Tamandua tetradactyla: one gene and its partner. The protein of the gene in region 1 interacts with the protein of each later gene in a pairwise test. Links are inferred from orthologs where the notes say so. Each region holds a gene or a part of one and is shown on either strand. Other genes may lie near its edges.

The links.
Region 2: the proteins of MYBPC3 (region 1) and myosin-7 interact in a two-hybrid assay, tested with the Homo sapiens proteins (2 studies listed by IntAct). The link is inferred for Tamandua tetradactyla from reciprocal best matches to the Homo sapiens genes MYBPC3 and MYH7.

Annotation. Positions count from the first base shown.
Region 1 is NC_135334.1:124,085,862-124,095,405, forward strand, and holds the start of MYBPC3 (myosin-binding protein C, cardiac-type), read right to left. Parts: upstream 4,338-9,544; 5' UTR 4,226-4,337; coding exon 4,201-4,225; intron 3,282-4,200; coding exon 3,015-3,281; intron 2,209-3,014; coding exon 2,107-2,208; intron 2,033-2,106; coding exon 1,925-2,032; intron 1,821-1,924; coding exon 1,672-1,820; intron 1,305-1,671; coding exon 1,187-1,304; intron 876-1,186; coding exon 827-875; intron 709-826; coding exon 679-708; intron 534-678; coding exon 480-533; intron 98-479; coding exon 77-97; intron 1-76. Other genes in the region: SPI1 (transcription factor PU.1), read right to left, coding at 6,877-7,193, 7,472-7,634, 8,355-8,542. UniProt on the Homo sapiens protein: Thick filament-associated protein located in the crossbridge region of vertebrate striated muscle a bands. In vitro it binds MHC, F-actin and native thin filaments, and modifies the activity of actin-activated myosin ATPase.
Region 2 is NC_135340.1:31,456,101-31,465,998, forward strand, and holds the start of myosin-7, read left to right. Parts: upstream 1-5,284; 5' UTR 5,285-5,392; intron 5,393-6,720; 5' UTR 6,721-6,775; intron 6,776-7,223; 5' UTR 7,224-7,231; coding exon 7,232-7,432; intron 7,433-7,691; coding exon 7,692-7,835; intron 7,836-8,113; coding exon 8,114-8,270; intron 8,271-8,453; coding exon 8,454-8,481; intron 8,482-9,069; coding exon 9,070-9,178; intron 9,179-9,258; coding exon 9,259-9,354; intron 9,355-9,462; coding exon 9,463-9,526; intron 9,527-9,898. UniProt on the Homo sapiens protein: Myosins are actin-based motor molecules with ATPase activity essential for muscle contraction. Forms regular bipolar thick filaments that, together with actin thin filaments, constitute the fundamental contractile unit of skeletal and cardiac muscle.

The sequences.
Region 1 (9,544 bases):
GAGCCAAGGGGTCTAGGGCTCACGAGAGGGGCTGGGCCCAGAGGAGCTCCAGGTGCCGGGATCGGCGGACACTCACCGAGGGGTCCGGAAGCTGCTGCTCCAGGCGGGGCGGGAGGAGCAGTGCACTCATTAGAGGCCTGGGCCCTGCCGGGACGCCCCCGCCCGGTGCCCCCATCTGCCCACACGGCGCCCCCGCGATGAGCACAGCCCCTCCTGAGCTTGGAAGGTGGGCTTGGGGGGACCCGAGAGCCAGACACCCACACGGGTGGCCACCCCAGGACTGCCTGCTTCCTGGGCCCAGCTCTCTGCACCTGCCCAGTGCCTGCAGCCCCCAAGCCCCCAGACCCCATTTCTTACTCTCTGGGAGGCAGCAGCAGCAGTGTGGAGGGAAGGGAGGAGAAGAGGGGAAGCAAAGTCAGTGGGTGGGCCGGGCCCCGCCTGGGCTGAGACTTGCCCCCAAGCTGCGCCCAGGCACCCACCTCTTCCTGAGCAGTGAGCTGAAGTCCAGAGTCCCTGCATCGTCGTGGCCTTCGCTGCAGAGAGACATCCCCCCCCCCCACCGCCATCGCCAGTGAGGCCGCGGTGGGGCCCGTGAGGGGCGGGAGCATTGGGGGAACTGGGGGCGGGGGAGAGGGTAGGTGGGGCCTCCGGGGCTTGGGGGGAGCCAGGAAGGGGTACCTGGTGCACCGACCACCTCCGGCCACGCTCCTGTCGGGGGTAGACGTGGTGTCTTCTCCTGCCAGGGGGGGTGTCACCTCCACCCCCGCTGGCCCCCGCTCCCCCCCATCCTCCCCCAACCCCAAGGAGAGTCCCCACAGCCACTCACGTGCGGCGGAAAGCTGACCGGAGGTCCAGGTCCCCAGGCCCTATGGCCTCTGGGTTCAGAGGGGAAGGACTTCAGCGGCGGCTTCCCAGGGACCCTGCCCTGGCCCCTCCAAGAGTCTGCAGGGCTCTCCCCAGGCCACGCTCCGGCCTGTACCAGGGCCAGGGCCCTGGGGCAGTGGGTCAGCCTGGGGTCCCCACTTCCCTTCCAGGCGGGGGCCTCCCACCCAACCTGCTCGCCAGACACCCAGACGCTGCTGGGCCCGGCCAGGAGCAGGGACACACGGGCGATGCAATGTCCCACCCTGCCACCAGGCGCCCGCCCGTCCTGAGGCGGGACGGAGCCCGGGCCCTGCGCCCTCACCGTGGACCGTGAGGCTGAAGTTGCAGCTGTCAAACTTGTCCTTGGTGGCCACCTCGCAGCGGTAGCCGCCGGCTGAGGATGGCTGGGCATCGGTGATGTGCAGCTCGAACAGGTAGGCCTGGGGGAGGCAGGGGCTGGGGCGCCGGCGGCCAGGAGGTTTCTCCCCACCCCCCACCCAACCTCTGCACGCTGCGCACAGGAGAAAGGGGGTCCCACTCGGGGGCCAGCAGGGCGGGCGGTCAGGGGCCCGGGCTCCAGGCCGCACCCCCGTGGGCTCCCGCCTCTCGCTTACCTCGTGCCTGTGGTGACGGACGTTCTGCTGGATCCCTGAGGGCCCCTTGAGCCCTGCCCCCCACCCCCCAGGGCTGTGTTCTGGGCTCTCCACACCGTCCTGTCCCCCCGCCATCCCCTGCACCCCTGCCCCCAGCCACCCCCCTGTCCTGCAGCCCGTGCCCCTCCCCAGGCCACCCCTGTGCCAGGCCCACCTTGCTGGCGCGGTCATAGCTGTCGCGTAGCTGCAGGTGCTGGCCCACCTTGCTGCTCAGGTCCACCCACTTGCCCTTGAACCACTTGACCACAGGTGGTTTCAGGAGGCTGGCCCCAGCCACGCGGGCTGAGAAGGTGATGCTGCCGCCTGCGGGGAGGGGGCCCAGCTGCCGTGGGGGGCCCGGCGGGCATGGGGGCGTCTGGCTGCCTCCCTCCCCGCCACACCCTTGGGTGCAGCTGCCCAGCACTCACCCGCGGTCACCTCACCATCCTGAGGCCGCATCACAAACAGGCCAATGGGGTCATCGGGGGTGCTGGGGCATCCAGGGGCAGGGCTCTCGGGGGCAGCCGAACTTGACCCTGTGAGCAGAGGCCTCTGGGACCTGCCCTGGGACATCCTGCAGCCGGTCCTGCCCTCCCTGCAGCCCCCTCACCTTCAGGCCTTGCAGAGCTTCCTTCCGGCTCAGCAGCCGGGGCCAATGCCCCCCCCGGGGCTCCCGGGGCCTCAGTAGCAGCTGGGGCGATCTCTGCCGTCTCTGGAGGGGAGCAAGTGGGGAGCAGCTCCTAGCCAGAGACCACCCCACACCCTTCGGCCCTGCCCCAGTCTCTGCAGGCTCCTCCAGAGTAGACAGGGCTTCATCTGTCCCTCCCCTTTCCTCCTTCCCCTCCATGACACTTCTCACCCCTTGCTAGCTCCCTCCCCTCCTCTCTCCTCCCGTCCTCTCCTCCTCCTCCCCTCCTCCTCCCCCTTTTCCTCCTCCCCTCCTCCCCTCCTCCTCCCCCTTTTCCTCCTCCCCTCCTCCCCTCCTCCTCCCCCTTTTCCTCCTCCCCTCCTCCCCTCCTCCTCCCCCTCTCCTATCCTCCCCTCCTCCCGAGCACCAGGCCAGGCCTCTCCTGCAGATGATGTCCCATGCTGGGCTCCTGTCCCTGCTGCGTCATCTGGGGGGGGGGGGCGGGGAGCTGCCGGCCCCTGGCTTCCCTTGCCGTTGTCTACCCTCACCCACTGCAGGTCTGCCCTGAGCAGCTCCGGGGTCCGTCTGTCCCTTCCTTCCCTCATGAGGCTGCAGCCTCATCCAGCTCCCTAGCTGGAAGCTCCACCACAGGCTACCAGGGGCTTCCCTGCTGGCCTGAGGCCGGTTCCCATGGGGCCCCCAGAGGCGGCTTGTGCCCTTGTGCCTGGTCCTCCCTGCAGTGGGTCCTCCCCCGGGGGCATGCCCAAGCCAGGAGCCCTGGGGTGCTCAGAGCGGCTGGGCCACAGAGAACAGGGGCCCGCACCCTGCAGGGGGGAGGTGGCACTGCCCTTGTGCCGGGAGGTCGACCTCAGGGACGGGTCTGCCCTTACCCGCCTCTGTGACCTTGAGGTCAAACTTGACCTTGGAGGAGCCGGCGATGACCGTGTAAGGGCCCTGGTCGGCGGGACCCACGTCCCGCACTGCCAGCGTGTGCTTCGTGCCCTCGGTGGCCAGGCTGTACTTGTCGCCCGTGCTGATGTCACTGCCTGCCCGCTGCCAGCGCACTTTCAGGCCCGCCCGCTCTGTCTCGGCCTCGAACACGGCAGTGCCGCCCGCAGCCACCTCCGCTGACTGGGGCTTCTTGCTGAAGGCCGAGGCTGAGGCCCAGACGGGGCTGAGGGACGCCCGGACCCCCCCCCCCCCCCACCGGCCCCCACCAAGCCTGGGGAGAGGCCCTGGGCACGCGTCCCCCCATTTAATGCTCCTTCAGCTCCAGGAGGGGGGCAGCGCTTAGGTCCCTTTCCCAGATGAGGACATGAGGCTCAGAGGGGTTAAGGGGCTTGCCCAAGGTTACACAGCCAGTAGGCGGGAGAGCTGGGGGTGTGGTCTGGACCCCCCACAGGCCAGTCTGGGTCCCCAGGCAGGGGCAGGTGCTCAGGCTGCTTGGAGTATGGCTAAATTTATCCTCCAAGGGCCTGGGGCTGAGAGTCAGCAACTGAGATAAAAAGTTGGCCTGGGGTGGGGAGGGGTGGGACACAGGGTGCCTGCCCCAGTGCCCTTGGTGGGGGCACAGGCCGGGACCAGGACCTGGGAGGTTGGGGGCCCTGTTCTACCCTCAGCCGGGGGCTCCTGGGGCCCCATGACCATCAGCCCAGAGTGGGGGCCATGCCCAGTGTGGAGGTCACAGGGCTGCAGAGGGAACTGCTTAGCTGGAAGGAGGCTTGCGGGCCTCCGCCCATCCCCTCCTTGTCCAGATGGGAAAACTGAGACCCAGAGAAGGGGGGAACCCTCCCGCCCGCAGCAGCCTTTCCCACCAGGCCAGGCCTCCCTCCTGAAAAAGGTCCCAGATGGGGGAGGGCACCCTGGGACTCAACTCCCCTCTCTGTGCTCCAGCCCTGGGTCCAGCCTCACCGTCCCCTGAAGCAGGAAGGGACCTGAGCCTCAGGAAGGGGCCCGAGGCCTGTCGAGTGTTGCATTCCCCACCTCCTCGGGAGCCAGCTCCTAGCCCTGCCCCCCAAATGCAGACACCCCACCCTCCCTGCACCCCACTCGAGCCCAACCCCGGCCTGGAGCTACCTGGCTTCTTCCCTGGTTCCGGCATCTTGGGAGCGACCACAGCAGGCACCGAACAGTCCCAGGCTGTTCGCAGAGGGATGGCGGGCAGCCCCCGCTATATAACGGCCCCGTCACACTCCCTCCCCCGGTCTCCTTATCAGCCTCCGAGCAGCCTCCCGCTAAATATAGACAAATTCCAGGGAGCCCAGGTCTCTCTCGGGGTGGAGAGGGCAGTGGGAGGGTCTGGGCCATTGTTCCTTTCCTCTTCCCCTCCCCCAACACAAATAGGACAGCTTCTGTACCCCAATCCTCAGTGCCCTCAGGGGTACCCAAGCCCAGTCTGTGTGACTATCTGACAGGCAAATTGAAGGTGGAAAGTGGGCTGGACCTTAACCCTGAGGCCGGCAGGTGGCTGTGTGACTTGCCAGGCAGTGAGGGGCCGGGTGGGACAGTGGGGGGCCAGGTGGGACAGTGGGGGGACCGGGCGGGACAGTGGGGTCTGGGTGGGGCAGTGGCAGGGGTGGGGGGAGGGGGTCTGGATGGGGCAGTACCAGACCAGATGGGGCAATGTGGGGCCGGGTGGGGTAGTGGGGGGGCAGTTGGGGGCTGGATGGGGCAGTGGGGGCCAGTGGGGGACCGGGTGGGACCGGGCGGGGCCGCACTGGGCTTTGTGGGGCAGTGGGTTGGGTTGCCCATGGCTGGCACGTGCCCTGAGGTGGGCAGCCCCCGAGCCTGGCTCTGCAGTCCCCAGCCTGATGCCCGTCTGCTTCACCTGTAAAGCGGGGCTGGATTGCCAGCCGGTGTGGGCAGCTCCTCCGGTTGGGAGATTGGAGATGAAGGTGCCCGCAAGGCACTGGGCTGGAGAGGGGGCAACACTGCAGGCGGGTGAGGCCGGGGCGACTCTCTGAGTTGAGCTGAGCCCCTGGGTGTCCCCAATCTGTGGTCCACCCTCCAACGGGGCCCCCAACCCTACTCCACGCGGAGAGAGGCGTGTCCCACGTGACTCATCCAAGCGAGACCGGGGACCAGAGAGCAGCCCCCGCGTGGGGGCGGGTACGTGAGGTGTGGGGGTGCTGCAGGTGGCCGGGCTGCTCCTGCCCGTGGGCAGCCACCTTCGGCCCCCCGCGTTGGGGGCCTGCCCTGACTTGGGGGCTGAGCAGAGCGGCCCTCTAGGGGCCCGGGGCCGGGGGGCCCTGTCGCTGCCGGGCCTGCCCGTTGTGGCCTGTGACCCCCTGGTGGGGGCGCTGGGTGGGGCGCGGGGAGCTGCCACCCGCGCCCTGGGGGGCCTGTTGGGCGCTGCAGCTGGGATGGGCCCCCCCGAGGCTGTGTGGGGGGGGAAAAGTCGGGAAAGCCCAGGCGGCCGGAGACATGCGCCGGCCAGGTCGGGGGGCTTTGCGACCCCCAGCGGCGGGAGGAGCCCCGGGGGCGGAAGGGACGGGCCGCCGAGCGCCATGTTGTCCACGCGGCCGGGGAGGCCCCGCCGCCGCCTTCCTGGGCGTCCCCGCGGCTGCGAGCTGAGCGGGAGCCGGAGCCGGAGCCGCCCCACGGCCGCCAACCCGGCGCCTCCTGTCCGGGGCCCGGGGTTCCAGCATGGCCGCCCGCTGGCAGCGTGATCTTGGCCGAAGCATCTGATCTCTGCCTGCCTCCGTTTCTCCCACTGCGCGGTGCGGCCTCATCAGCATCCGCCTCACACCATGGAAAGTGCAGCGACGCTGCGGCCATCGTCACCCGGGTGACGGGCTCCAGCCCCCGAGGGCTGCTAACCACGACTCATACAGTAGGGAGCGAGGGCTCCTGCTTCCCAGTAGGCACGCCCGGGCCTGGGTTCCGCCCCACGCCGGGCCCCAGGGGGCCCCCTATCCCCCAGGCCTGGACCCCCGGGCCCCAGTGGGCCCCCTATCCCCCAGGCCTGGTCCCCCCGGGCCCCAGGGGGCCCCCTCCCCCCAGGCCTGGACCCCCGGGCCCCAGGGGGCCCCCTCCCCCCAGGCCTGGTCCCCCAGGGCCCCAGTGGGCCCCCTCCCCCCAGGCCTGGACCCCCCGGGCCCCAGTGAGCCCCCTATCCCCCAGGCCTGGACCCCCGGGCCCCAGGGGGCCCCCTCCCCCCAGGCCTGGACCCCCGGGCCCCAGGGGGCCCCCTCCCCCCAGGCCTGGTCCCCCAGGGCCCCAGTGGGCCCCCTCCCCCCAGGCCTGGACCCCCCGGGCCCCAGTGAGCCCCCTATCCACCAGGCCTGGACCCCCGGGCCCCAGGGGGCCCCCTCCCCCCAGGCCTGGACCCCCCGGGCCCCAGTGAGCCCCCTATCCCCCAGGCCTGGACCCCCGGGCCCCAGTGGGCCCCCTCCCCCGAGGCCTGGTCCCCCACCTCCCCCCCCCCCCCCCCCACCCCGGGCCCGGCGGCGCACAGGACGCTGAGGCGGGCGAGGCGGCGGCGGGCTTTATAACAACGCTGCGCGGGGCTGGCTGAGAGTCCCGGCGGTCACTCGCGAGCCCTGCGGGGGCAGGTGGGCAGCCCGGGGGGGCTTCGAAGGGACCATTCGGTGTCCACGGGGCCGAGGCGGGGCCGCCCGATCCCGCGCCCGGGGCTGGTCCCGGCGGGCGGGGCGGGCGGGGCGGGGCCGGGGGGCTGCCGGGGCCCGCGCCCCTCCCCGTGTCCGGCGGGCGAGGGGTTAATGCTGTGGCCGGGGCGGCGGGCGGCCGCGCTCAGTGCGGGGGATGGCGGCGCTCGGCCAGGCCGCGGCCCAGCACCTCGCCGCTGAACTGGTAGGTGAGCTTCTTCTTGACCTTCTTCACCTCCCCGGTCTTGCCGTAGTTGCGCAGCGCGCGCGCCATCTTCTGGTACGTCATCTTCTTGCGGTTGCCCTTCTGCACGCCCCAGCGGTTGGCCAGCTCCTCCTTGTGCTTGGACGAGAACTGGAAGGTGCCCTTGTCCTTGTCCACCCACCAGATGCTGTCCTTCATGTCGCCGCTGCGCAGCAGGTCCAGCAGGAACTGGTACAGGCGAATCTTCTTCTTGCTGCCTGCGGGGAGCAGCGCGGGCGGGCTGGGGGGCCGGGCCCGGGACCCTCCGCCCCTCCCCCCTGCCGGCCCCCTGGGGTAGGACGGGGCGCGCCCCCCCCCGCGGGTTCAGCCCACACACACAGCACAGACGCGCATGCATGCTCACACACACACACTCGCGCGCGCACACACGGCCCATGAGGACACGCTGGGAACTTGTGGGGACCCCTTGGCACATATCACATGCCGCCTCCCCTCCACCCCCCAGGCACCGTGCCCCTCGGCCTGCTGGACCTACCTGTCTCCCCGTGCAGGAGGCCAGGCCCTGGCTCCAGGCCATCAGCCTCCCCGTCGGATACCTCCAGTGGGGGGCTCTGCCGCTCACCCTCCTCCTCATCGGAGCTGGGCTGGGCCGGCGAAAGGGAGGGGTATGGGAGGCACATCCGGGGCAGGTAGGAGACCTGGGCAAGTGAGGGCAAGTGGGCTGAGGTCGGTAAGGGGCAGTTCAGAGATCAGGGCTGTGGGCAGCACTGAGGCTGGGTGGTCAGCAGAGGGCAGAAAGACTAAGGGGAGGCAGGGAAAGCTGGACGTCGCTCAGGTCAGCAGAGGCGACCAGGCCCCCCATGCACAGGGGTGCAGACTGTGCACTGCACAAGGGCGTGCAGGTCCTCGGCACTCACCAAGCTGAGCTTCCTGCTGAGTGGATGAGCGGGTTCCAGGGGCTGGGAGCAGGAGGGCTCAGGGGCCAGTGGGTTGGGTTAGGACTGGACAGACTTTAGTAAGTGGCGGGAAGAGTGAGTGAAGGACGCAGTGAGGTCAGCGAAGGCTTGTAGGGGTCAGTAGAGGTTACTGATGGGGACAGAGTCCATGGGGCCAAGTAGGGTCATCAAAGGGGTCAGTGTGGAAAGTAAAGGGTGAGGAGAGCCCAGCACTCAGCACCCTGGACACCACACCCTTGGGGGCGCCCATCGATGGAGGCTGCTGGCTGGGAGGGGCAGAGCCATGGGGACTGCCTGGAGCCTGGCCACCCGTGGGCCGAGAGCTGATGAGGGGTGTGGGATCGCCAGGCCGGCCGGAGGGTCCCAAGGCCGCTGGGGGGGGGGGGGGGGCAAGAAGCAGTGTGGGGCACGAGCGCGCCGGCTCCTGTGTGCCCTTGGCCTGGGCGGGGCAGAGCTGCGCACCTGGTGGCTGAGAGTGGCATGGGGCGGGGCCATGGGCGCGTCCAGCACGTGCATCTGCTCCAGCTCCATGTGGCGGTAGAGCTGCTGCAGCTGGGGGGGCTGCACGCTCTGCAGCTCCGTGAAGTGGTTCTCGGGGAAGCTCTCGAACTCGCTGTGCACATGGTGGGGGTGGAAGTCCCAGTAATGGTCTGCGGGGGGCAGCAGGGGGCGCAGTGAGGCCGGGGCGGGGGTGGGGGTGGGGGTGGAGGCAGCGATAATGAGACACAGTGCCACGCGGGGCCCTCACGGGGCCAGGCCGGGCGACGCGCCTGCCTGCCGACCTCACTCAGCGTACACCCCATCTTGGGAAGTGGGCGCCCCGCTTCATAGATGACCTGAGGCCTGGGGAGGCCGCAGAACGTGCCCAAGGGGCCCAGGTCCGAGGCCTATTGCCCACATGGCTGCAGGGGCGCAGACTCGGGCCCCCCGCTGGCCTGCTGGGGTGGCTGACCCTCCTAGGACATGGGGCTAGCGGTTACTGGAGGATGTGCATGAACTCGCGCCTGTGGAAACTTCCAGCAGGGACCCGGCCACTGCCTGCCCTCGCCTGGTGCTGCCCACCATCCCGAGCTGCTTGCCGTCCACAGGCGCAGGGGCGTGTGGCCTCCTCCCGTGGCTGGGGTGGGCCATGGCGGTGCCCGGGCGCCAGCGAGGTCCCTGGGATGTGAGTCCTTCCTGGAAATTCCCCTGCAGCGGTGCTTCCGGCCTGTGGCGGAGTGGCTTAGGGCTGGAGCCACATGCCATGTCCTCTCGTGATGAGGGCAGGGCCTGAACGTGGGTTTCTGGGCACCTTTTCCAGGAACAAAAACTAACGCGTGTCTGAAGCCTTCCTGGGTCCCCAAGCGGTGTGATGGCGAGATGACACTTGGGGTTTCCTCAAGTGGCCTGAAGAGGGAGTGCACAGACAGACATACACCCACGAGGCCAGGCCCTGCGGGCTGCCCCTCACCGGCCCGGGGCATGAGCGTGTGCCTGTGTGCATCTCTCCTTCCTTTCCTTGCACAAACACTTCTCACTTTTTTTTAGCTCAAGGCTGGAAAGCAAAGGACTTGTGTTCTAACTCTGCCCCCGTGGTGGCTCTGCTGTGTGACCCTGGGCAAGACACTTTGTCTTCCTGAGCCTCTGATTCCCCTCCCCCAACATCGGGGACC
Region 2 (9,898 bases), on another chromosome or scaffold:
AAATGCAATTTAATTGGCAGACAAATGTGAGCATCAGTGAGATAATAATTATAAGACACAATGCGTGTCCCTGGCTTCGGTGGGCACATCACACATGTAGAGCCCTTTCTCCTCTCCCTTACAATGTGGCTGCAACTCTTTCTCCTCCCATCTTATATCTCCAGACTCCCCATACTCTGACCAGGCAGAAGAGTTGCCCACCATTCCCCCACCATGCCTTCGGTCATGCTGTAATTTGCACCACCTAGGACACGTCTCAACTCCCACAGTTTCTCAAAGCCCTGCCTTTCCTTTTAGATTGGATTGCAAGCCCTCCACCTTGAAACCTTCAATTATTCAAGCCCACATTAAGCAAGAACTTCTCTGCCCTTTGGTTGTTCCAGATCTGGACACTTATTCAGCCCTGAACCATTCTCCTTTGGTTTCCAGTGTGTTCTAGTAGCCACACTAGAAGATGGGAGTGCTGGTGAGCCAGAGGCCATGTGACCCTCCTGTGGCCCCCATGGAGCTGAGCATACAGCAGGGGCCACAGTAAGGCATTGACTAAGACTGACTGACTTACTGACTGACTGGGACCCACTGGAGAATAAAGGGAGAATGAAACAGGCTGAGCTGGACTAGAAACTGGGAAGGAGACACCCCTGGCAGGCTGATCAAATACTAATGTTCTATCTTAACACTGGCTACTGACTTTGGCTCAGACTTCATGTCATGCATGCGTGTGCAGAGATGTATACCTATGCACATGTGTATAATGCATGTAACATGTGTGTTTGTGTGCATTCACCTACATTTATGTGTCAGAGTAGACAGTTGGGAAACAGGTAATGGTTCCAGGGAGGCCGGCTTAAGAGAGGGCACCTCTGGCATGAGGAATGAAGTATAGAGTCCCTCCTCCCCTTGGAAAGGGGACTGCTTATTACCCAGCCTCTTAGACCCTCAAGAAGCATTCATCTCCACTCCTAGCAAATCCAATGATCTCTCCGTACTCTGTGCTGATCCAGGCATGGTGACCACAGGATACTACCCCAAAGTTGCCTATGAACAGAGCAGAGAACCTGGAGTAGGTCCTAACTGGAGCCCGACATAGAGCAGAGTACAGAACTCTGGGTCTGAACACCAAAGTATCCAGGAAATGACTTCAGGATGCTGCTTTTCAGTTTATTTATTCTGGTTATTTCACTTCACGATGCCCTGACCATTCTCCTTCCAGAGGTTTCCAGCCCCTACTAGCTCCAATGCAGGGGGTGGTTGAGACTGCTGAAGGAACACTGCTCAGCCCAGGGCTGGTTCCTCCTGCCTCCTGAAGGCCCCAGTTTAGTGTACCTCCCCTCTGCAACCCAACTCCCAGGCCCTAGGGCCAACCCAGCTCCACCAGGCAGCTCTGTGTGCCCAGGACCCCTGAGATCTTCAGTCCAGGATGTTAAAATATGTACATATATAGCTGATGCTTTCATCAGGGGCCCTTGGCGAATGGATCTATTTGACCTGGGCCAATTCTTCATGGGCCTCAGCTTAGCACATTGGCTGGTCATAAGGGCAAGTTCAATGGGCAGCAGTTAGGGCTGCTGTCTCCCAGTCTCAGAGCTTAAGTCAAGAATGTCAAGAGTGGCCTGAGGACCTTGACCTCTCTAGCCATGATGTTTCCAAAGGTAAGCACAATGCAGGCTGTAGAGACACAGGCTGCTGGATGCCCTGGTCCACCCTGGCCCAGAACACCACTTAAATGAGTTGTCTTGGTGGTATTGGCAGAGATGGTGGAGGGTTGGGGGTGGCAAAGAACCTAAAGCAGGGTAGCTGGCCCTGCCTGTCTGCAGTCCTGGCTCCTCAAGCTTGTGTTCCTAACGATAAAAGCTGTCATTTAGTGAGAGCCTGCTACATGTCTGGTGCCGTGCTAGACCTTTTACTTTTGCTACCTTTGATGACCCTAGAAGGGAAACATGACTATCCCCATATTATAAATGACAAAACTGATTCAGAGAGGCTCCGTGCCTGACCTAGACCACACAGCTAGAACGTGGAGGACCTGGGTTTGGAGTGGATTCTTTGTGACTGACTCTGAAACTTGTGTCCCCAGGCTGCCCCTCCTGTGCCCCCTGAGGCCTCCAGCCCTGAAAGCCAGACCATCCACTCCCCACAAAGTCTCCCTTTGCCTGAGTTGTTCCATTCCAAACGTTCACTGAAGGCAGGATCTACTTTCCCAAACCACCCCAAACCTAAACTGGGCAAGCCCCACACTCAGCCCTCTTCCTCCCACCCCTTCTTTCCAATTGCCCTCGAGACTTGCCGGTAAAGGGTGGGGCGTTTAGAGGTACAAAAGACTGTGGAGCCAGCAGGAAGACAAAAGAATGACAAGAAGAAGCAGCTGCTTGTGAAGGGAAACCTGATACAGCACAAAGCTGGGCTCTTTAATCCCAGGCTCGTGTGGAGCCAGGGTAGGGGCCCCCAAGGTCAGGGATTCTAGGCGTGGGCAGGTGGGAGAGCTCCCCTCCCTGTGTGCAAACAACTGGTGCCTCATTCCTCTTCCTGGACCACAGCCCCCACCTCTTTCTGTCTCATCTCTGCCCCTTCCTTTTGGATTTGGGGGCCCCTTTGTGATCTCCCCCTCTCCAGGCTCAAGTCTCTTCTGATGGCCCCTCCTCCATTCCCGGTAGTAATTTTAGCAACTTTTCCTCTGGCCTTCCACTGGCATGTTCACAGCAAATGGCCCTTGTTTTGGCCTGACACTTGATTAGGGTGGTGACAGAGTCCAGACAAAGCAGGCCCAATGCCAGAGGGGGTGGGGGTAGAGACAGGAGAGGAGACAGATCACCTTCCTTCCACTCCAGACCTTATTTGGTCTACCTTGGTGAAGTTGCTCCCCCCCTCCGCACCCCCTCTCCTTTTTATTTATAGCATTCTGCTCTGCCCTCCTTTGTCTTGTCTGCTCCCACTCTGTAGTTTGCGCTGCACGGCCCCCTCCCCAGCCCCACCCGTCGCCCCTCGCTCAGGTTCTCCCCACTAGGAATGTGTGTGTGCAAAGCCACCAGCTGCACACTGAGCCCAGAATTTCACTTCTGCAACGAGAACAGAGCCGCCCCAGGGAGGGATCTTTCTTTCAGTCACTCCATCCACACTGACTAGAATGACGCCTGGCACCAGTAAGCACTCAATAAATGTTTCTTGAATGAACAAATTCAGCAAAGCCGCACAGTCCTCAGGTGGCAGCTGCAGAAGGAAGCGCATCATGCTGCAGCTGAGATCCATGCCGGAGGGACCGGGGAACGAGTGGGGGACCTTTGGACATCACACCCTCCCGTGTGTCTGAGACGTGAGGCAGCAAGCCTAGAGGCAGGAGGGTGGTTTCTAGTCTGCATCAGGGACTGGAGAACAGTAACACCATAACACCAGTAGGCCAATGCCCCCTGACCCCGAAAAGAGGGTAACAGAGTGTGATTAGTTCCACTACATGGAGAGAAGTCTTCCCCACTCCACAGCCAAGGAGGTTGGCCTGTAGTGGAGACGCTGGCTTTGAAATAGCCCAGCTCTGTCTCAAGCAGCACCTTTGTGCATCTCAATCGTCTGCATCTCAGCCTGAGCCCTGGGAAATCAAGGAAGAGCAGAAGCCCCATGCTTGGAAAACTGGAAAGGGTGGATGAAAAGAGATGTTTTTTTCCCCTTCATTGCCGATCTCTGAGGCCCCTAGGCCTCACTCCTCGGCACCTGGCAGGGCCTTGTTGGGGCCTCCAGCCTGTGTTCTGCTGGCCAGGTGAGCAGCAGGGCCCACTGGGGCCGCCTCAGCACTTGCGGACCTCAGCATTGCCACGTGACTGCATCAGCCACAGCGCCCGCGGCTCCTTGCTGTCGCCCCCACCGGCTGCCCGATGTCCTCAGCTTGTGCCATGGTTACCAAGCAGCCCCCACGGATCCAGGCCCCACCTGGACTTGCCCTTCCCTGCTGTGCTCACCCCTCATTCAAAATGTACCAACTCTGTACCCCATCCCCCAGGCCTGCCTCTTCCCTTCCAGCTAATCAGATGTATTAACCCACGTGCGCTGAAGCGCTATGTTTGGGAAAGGAGGAGGGATTTAAACCACGCCACACAGTGGTTGCCTGGACACAGGGCTAGTTGTTCTCGCACACCCCACTGCTGGCTCAGAGCCTGAGCCCCAGCTGCCTTTCCTCACCTTAGGAGCCGTGTGGCTGCCTCTAAGGCTTGAAGGAAAGGGGAAACCTTTCCTCTCCCTCTGCCCCACTTGCCAGAGCACCAGTGTCCTCCAGGTCTGGACAGAGGTTGCCCTGCAGAACCCCAGGGGGCAGGTGGGCTAGGCATTGCCATCTTGGTTAGGGGTTGTCTTCTAGCTCAGAGCAGCTGCGTTATCTACAGCTCAGAATGTCTGGTTCTGGCTAGGGCTTTTAGTGCCTTCAGGGCAGGGCTACAGAAACAGGTCAGGCAAAGGGCTCTAAACTGGGGTTCCCTCTGGGCAACTAGGCCCTGCCTTCCATGCACAATGGGTCGTCGCCTGCTTGGAATCCCAGCCTTCCTTCCCTTGCCTCCCCCTCCGTAAGCTGGCACTCCATCTCTGCTTGCTGAGGTTTCCTCCCTTGAATCTTGCTGCCCTGAATAGCCATATGACCTCAAGCAAGGCATTTCCCCTCTCCATGAAATGATGGGGTTGGACCGATCACTAAAAGCCAGTCTGACTCTAAGACTCGGTGACCTCAGCTCATCGCCTGCCTTGTCCAAGGAAATCACTGCCAGAGCCACTGGTTCTTGACGCTTGGCTGGGACGTCTCCTTCCAGTAGCCCCAATCTAGCCCCCCACCGTGGGGCCATGCCTGCGACTCCGCTCATCCCTCTGTGCTGCTGACAATCAGCCCCTTCCTATCTCACAGCTGGGTACAGGGCCTAGCCCGGGAGCGGGAGCGCAGGAAGGACACTGGGGAAGTCAGGCCAGACCAGCACTGGGGGCAGGGGGCCCTGGGGCCAGCAGGGTCAGGTCAGGGAAGCCCTACTGGAGGCACGGGGCCCTGCCTGCCCGAGTTCATGGTGGTGGTGGTCAGTTCCCTCTCCTACCGGCTGTGGAATGTGAGGCCTGGCCTGGGAGATATTTTGGATGCACTCTGAGCTGCCCCACCCCCTGGGACTCAGACCCTGCATACTCCATGCCATAACAATGACGACCACTTCCAATTGTTTCCTGCCTAGAGGGGGGAGGGGGAACGCTGTTTGGGAGGAGGGGGGCTGGGGGAAATGCTTCTAGTGACAACAGCCCTTTCTAAATCCGGCTAGGGACAGGGTGCAGGTGGGGGTGGGGGTGCCCTCTGCCCCATATATACAGCCCCTGAGACCAGGTCTGGCTCCACAGCCTTTTCTCCTGCCCTCTGTGTCTCTTTCCTTGCTGCTCTCAGGTAGGAGCGGGGAGCTGAAGGCCTTCCTCTGGGATCGGGGCCCCAGGTTTAGGAAGAGGCTCCTCTAGGACATAGCAGGCTTCACATAGGGCTGCATGCAGAGTGCCAGGTCTGGTCATGGAGGACACGTGTGCATGCCTAAATAGGCATGTACATACCCTAGGAATGTGGAGACTCATGTGTTATGGCAGGGCATGTCTGCATCTGAGCATACAGGGCCAGAATGTATCAGAGGTGTGTGCAGCAGGCATACACTGAACGTGGCGGCGCGGGGTTGGGGTGGGGTTTGCTAGCAAGCAAGCACAGGTGCTCACTGCTAAGACACAGAGATGGATACCAGGTGAGGATAGGGGGTTGTGATCATATCTGAGAACAGCAGGCCCATTGGTGGGGAGGAGAAGGAAGCATGTGTGCTTAAAGGCTGGCTCTGTGAAAAATCTGCAATATATAAATACCCATGTGCATGCAGGTAGAGGTGCTTGAATGTGCCCCTGGGGCGTGCATGTGACCGTGTGTGTGCTCCTGCAAACGGAGCCCACAGGCACGAGTGCGGGTGTCCGAGGTCCTTGTATTCTTGAAGTCATACATCACTGTCAGTCTATTTATGGTTTGCTGTGTTAAAAGTGCACAGCTGTTTTGGAGGCCTGTGGCACCCTGGTGGAGATATGCGTGTATGCCCAGGTGTAAGGAATCAGTGTGTCCTTTTGTGGACTGTGGGCATGAGTAATGGGTATGTGTGTTCTTGAGAGGACATGTGGCACACGGCTGTGCGCTGGGTGTATCTGAGAGAATGCCCACAGTGTCTCTGAGCACGTCACAAAGTCTAACAACAGAATGGGGACATGATGGAAGAGAACTGGCTTTGCAGTCATGCACTTTGGCTCTGGTCCTGGCTCTGCTGCTCTTCACCCTGGATTCCTGGGCAAGCAGACAGCTTGGCCTTCATGGCCTCATTTGTAGAATAGGGTGAGGATCCTGTAAGAGCACAGGTAGATTGAAAAGCACCAGACAAAGGCGACCTTTAGTTCTCAGGGGGCTCAAAGGAAGAGAGTTTTACTAAGTGGATATAAGCAAGGGTGGGACCATTTCCCAGGAGTGTAGGGGTTCAGAGCAGAGTTGCCCTCAGGCTGTTAGAACTGGTACTTGAAGTGGGGAAGGGGGGAGTGTTTGGAAAGCAAGAAAGAGGATGCAACGGGAGGAGCTGACCATCAATTCCAACCTGTGTTCAGACCTGGGGAAGAAGATTGGGTGCTGGAGGGCAAAGCCAGGGAGATGGTACTGCCTGGTGGGGCCATGGCCTGCCCTGACACTGCTTTCCCTCTCTCCAGGTCCCCGTAGGCCTGGGCCCCATTCTTCATCTGTAGACAAATTTGAGAAGCCAAGGTAAGGAAAGCTGAAGATGGGGTGCGGGAGGATCTGGGAGATTGGGCATGACAACCCCAGAGCCAGGCTATGAATCTCTAGTTCTTGCCCTGCCCTGGGGAGGTAACCTTAGTTACCAGGGATTCCTTACCTGTGTCTAATGAAGAGGACCTGCGCATGGAAGAGAGTCAGATTCCTGCTCCCACAAGAAGCCCAGGGCATTCTTCCTTCCCTAAGAGAGACCCAGCCTAAACAGTAGTCAGCCGCCCCTTCTACCCTGACAGGCTTACCAGGCCATTCTTCGGCCTGTGACAGAAGCTCAAAGAACAAGGGGCTTGCCAGTGACCCTTCTTGATTCCTGATCATTATGCTAGGTTGTGGGGCTTCCATGGAAGGTGGGAGACGAAGGAGGGGAAGAGGAGCGTAGGCAGATGACAGGGCAGCCAGCTTCTTCTCCTGCACACTACAGGTACAGCCATGGGGGATGCGGAGATGGCCGCGTTTGGGGCTGCTGCTCCCTACCTGCGTAAGTCAGAGAAGGAGCGGCTAGAAGCCCAGACCAGGCCTTTTGACCTCAAGAAGGACGTCTTTGTGCCTGATGACAAAGAGGAGTTCGTCAAGGCCAAGGTTATGTCTCGAGAGGGTGGCAAAGTCACTGCCGAGACCGAGCGTGGCAAGGTAGGTAGAAGGGCTGGCATGAGATGGGTGCAACAAGAATTTCCCTTTGATTTGGGTGGGCTACAAATCCTCAGCAGCCCTTCTCATTACCAACATTCAACTGTGAGACTCTGATTCCTCCTCTCAAATACCAGGGGCTTGGAACTCTCCCTACTCCTACCCCTAAGAAACCCCTCATTCTGATCCCTGTTGAGAGAGCAGGGAAAGGTTCAGGGTGGATAACATGAGCTGACAGCACTGCCTGTGTGGGCTGTTGCAGACGGTGACCGTGAAGGAGGACCAGGTGATGCAGCAGAACCCACCCAAGTTCGACAAGATCGAGGACATGGCCATGCTGACCTTCCTGCACGAGCCCGCCGTGCTCTACAACCTCAAGGAGCGCTACGCTTCCTGGATGATCTACGTGAGTGCCAGCCCTTAGCATATCCCTCTGAATCTAGTAGCTTCCTTGTCCACATATTTCCATTTCCTGGAGCCAAGAGTTTCTGTTCTCTGTGTGGAGGCAGCACTGCTCTTTCATCCTAGTCGGGACACCCATGGTTCCATATTAATACTCTGAAGGCTGGGATCACTCAGATTTAATGCCTTAGGAGATGGTCCTTTCTTTCCTGTCCCCAATTCTGAAAACCACCACACCGCCCCCTTCATCACTGGAACTCACTCTTCCTTTTCTATGCCCAGACCTACTCGGGCCTCTTCTGCGTCACCGTCAACCCCTACAAGTGGCTGCCGGTGTACAACGCGGAGGTGGTGGCCGCCTACCGGGGCAAGAAGAGGAGTGAGGCCCCGCCCCACATCTTCTCCATCTCCGACAACGCCTACCAGTACATGCTGACGGGTGAGAGACCCCCGGGAAGAGCTTCCCTGAAAGGGTCCCAGTGGAGGGAACTCACACTTGTTCCCTTCTTCCTCCTCGAGGGACTCAGGAAGCTGGGAGATGCCTAGAGATAGGCAGGGAGTAGGGTGGTGAGAAACTATCCTGTGCTGCTCCTGACTTTTCCTTCCCATTTTCTCCCCACAGACAGGGAAAACCAGTCCATCCTGATCACGTGAGTGTAGCTCCTGCCATGTTCTCCTCCAGAATCTCCTTGATCCAGACCCCCTCAGGGATCCCAGGCCCACGTGCATGGACCTACACTACTGTCCCTACCCCCTTCACCCATCTTCTCCTCTGACCTTTACCCTTACCCTTCTCTTTATTCTCCCCCTTCCTTTCTGCTTTCTCTCTCTCTTATTTTCCTCCCCCATTCCTTCTTCCTCTCCCGTCAAACTCATCATTTATACATAACCCTGTCAGCACCATGTCTTCTTTACGTCTTCACATCCTTTCATCTTTCCCTTCAGAACCCTTCTGCATCGTTCCAGCCCGACCCCAAGCTCAGCTCCTCTGACTGATCTTGCCCAGCCAAGCACAGGCTTCCCATGCCCAAAGTCAGTGCTTTCTTGTGCCTTCCTGGTCACTCCTCCAACCTGACACAGGTCTGAAAGCAACTGTGTGCTTTAGGTTGTGTGACCTGGCAGCTTCCTGCTTCATCTCCCGCTCTCAGGCAGGACCAGAATCCTCTCCAGACATGAGGCTTGTTAGTCCCAAGCAGTATTTATCCCACTGCCTAAAAAGCCCCTGACTGTCCCAACAGTGGAGAATCTGGGGCAGGGAAGACGGTCAACACCAAGAGGGTCATCCAGTACTTTGCTGTCATCGCCGCCATTGGGGACCGCAGTAAAAAGGAACAGACCACAGGCAAGGTAGGCTTGTTGTCCTCTAAGGACCTGCACTTCAGGAAAGGAGATGGAGGGCCTCTCACCTGCCCCCTTCCCTACCACAGCAAGCCACCCTGGAGGACCAGATCATCGAGGCCAACCCTGCCCTGGAGGCCTTCGGCAACGCCAAGACCGTGCGGAACGACAACTCCTCCCGCTTTGTGAGCGCTCCCTCACCACCTTGGCCTTGGGACTTGGACTGATTGAGGGATGGCCTCAAATGTGGGCTTTCCTCCCCAGCTCATCACTACCCTCCTCCAACTTTCCAGGGGAAATTCATTCGAATCCATTTTGGGGCGACCGGAAAGCTGGCGTCTGCAGACATAGAGACCTGTGAGTACCGGGGATCTGCTAGGGCTCAGACTGAGCTCACTCAAGTTCTAGGCTCTCTCTCTCTCTCTTTCTCTTTCTCTCTCTTTCTCTCTCTCTCCTCACTGTTCCTCTGTCTCTCTGCCTCTCTTTCTGTCCTGTCTCTACAAGTGTGTGAGTCTCTTTAGTCTGAGTATGTTTCTCTCAGAGATGTCCTCTGAATCTTTCTCCGTCTTTGTCTCTGCATGTCTGTACATCTTTCTCTGGGGCTTTTCTGCATCTCTGTCTCTACCTCCATGTGTGAATTCAGTGTTTCTGTATGAGACTGTCTCTTTCTCTCTTCCTCTTCTTTTCCATCTACCATATACTTGCTTCATTTATCATTTCTTTTCCTCT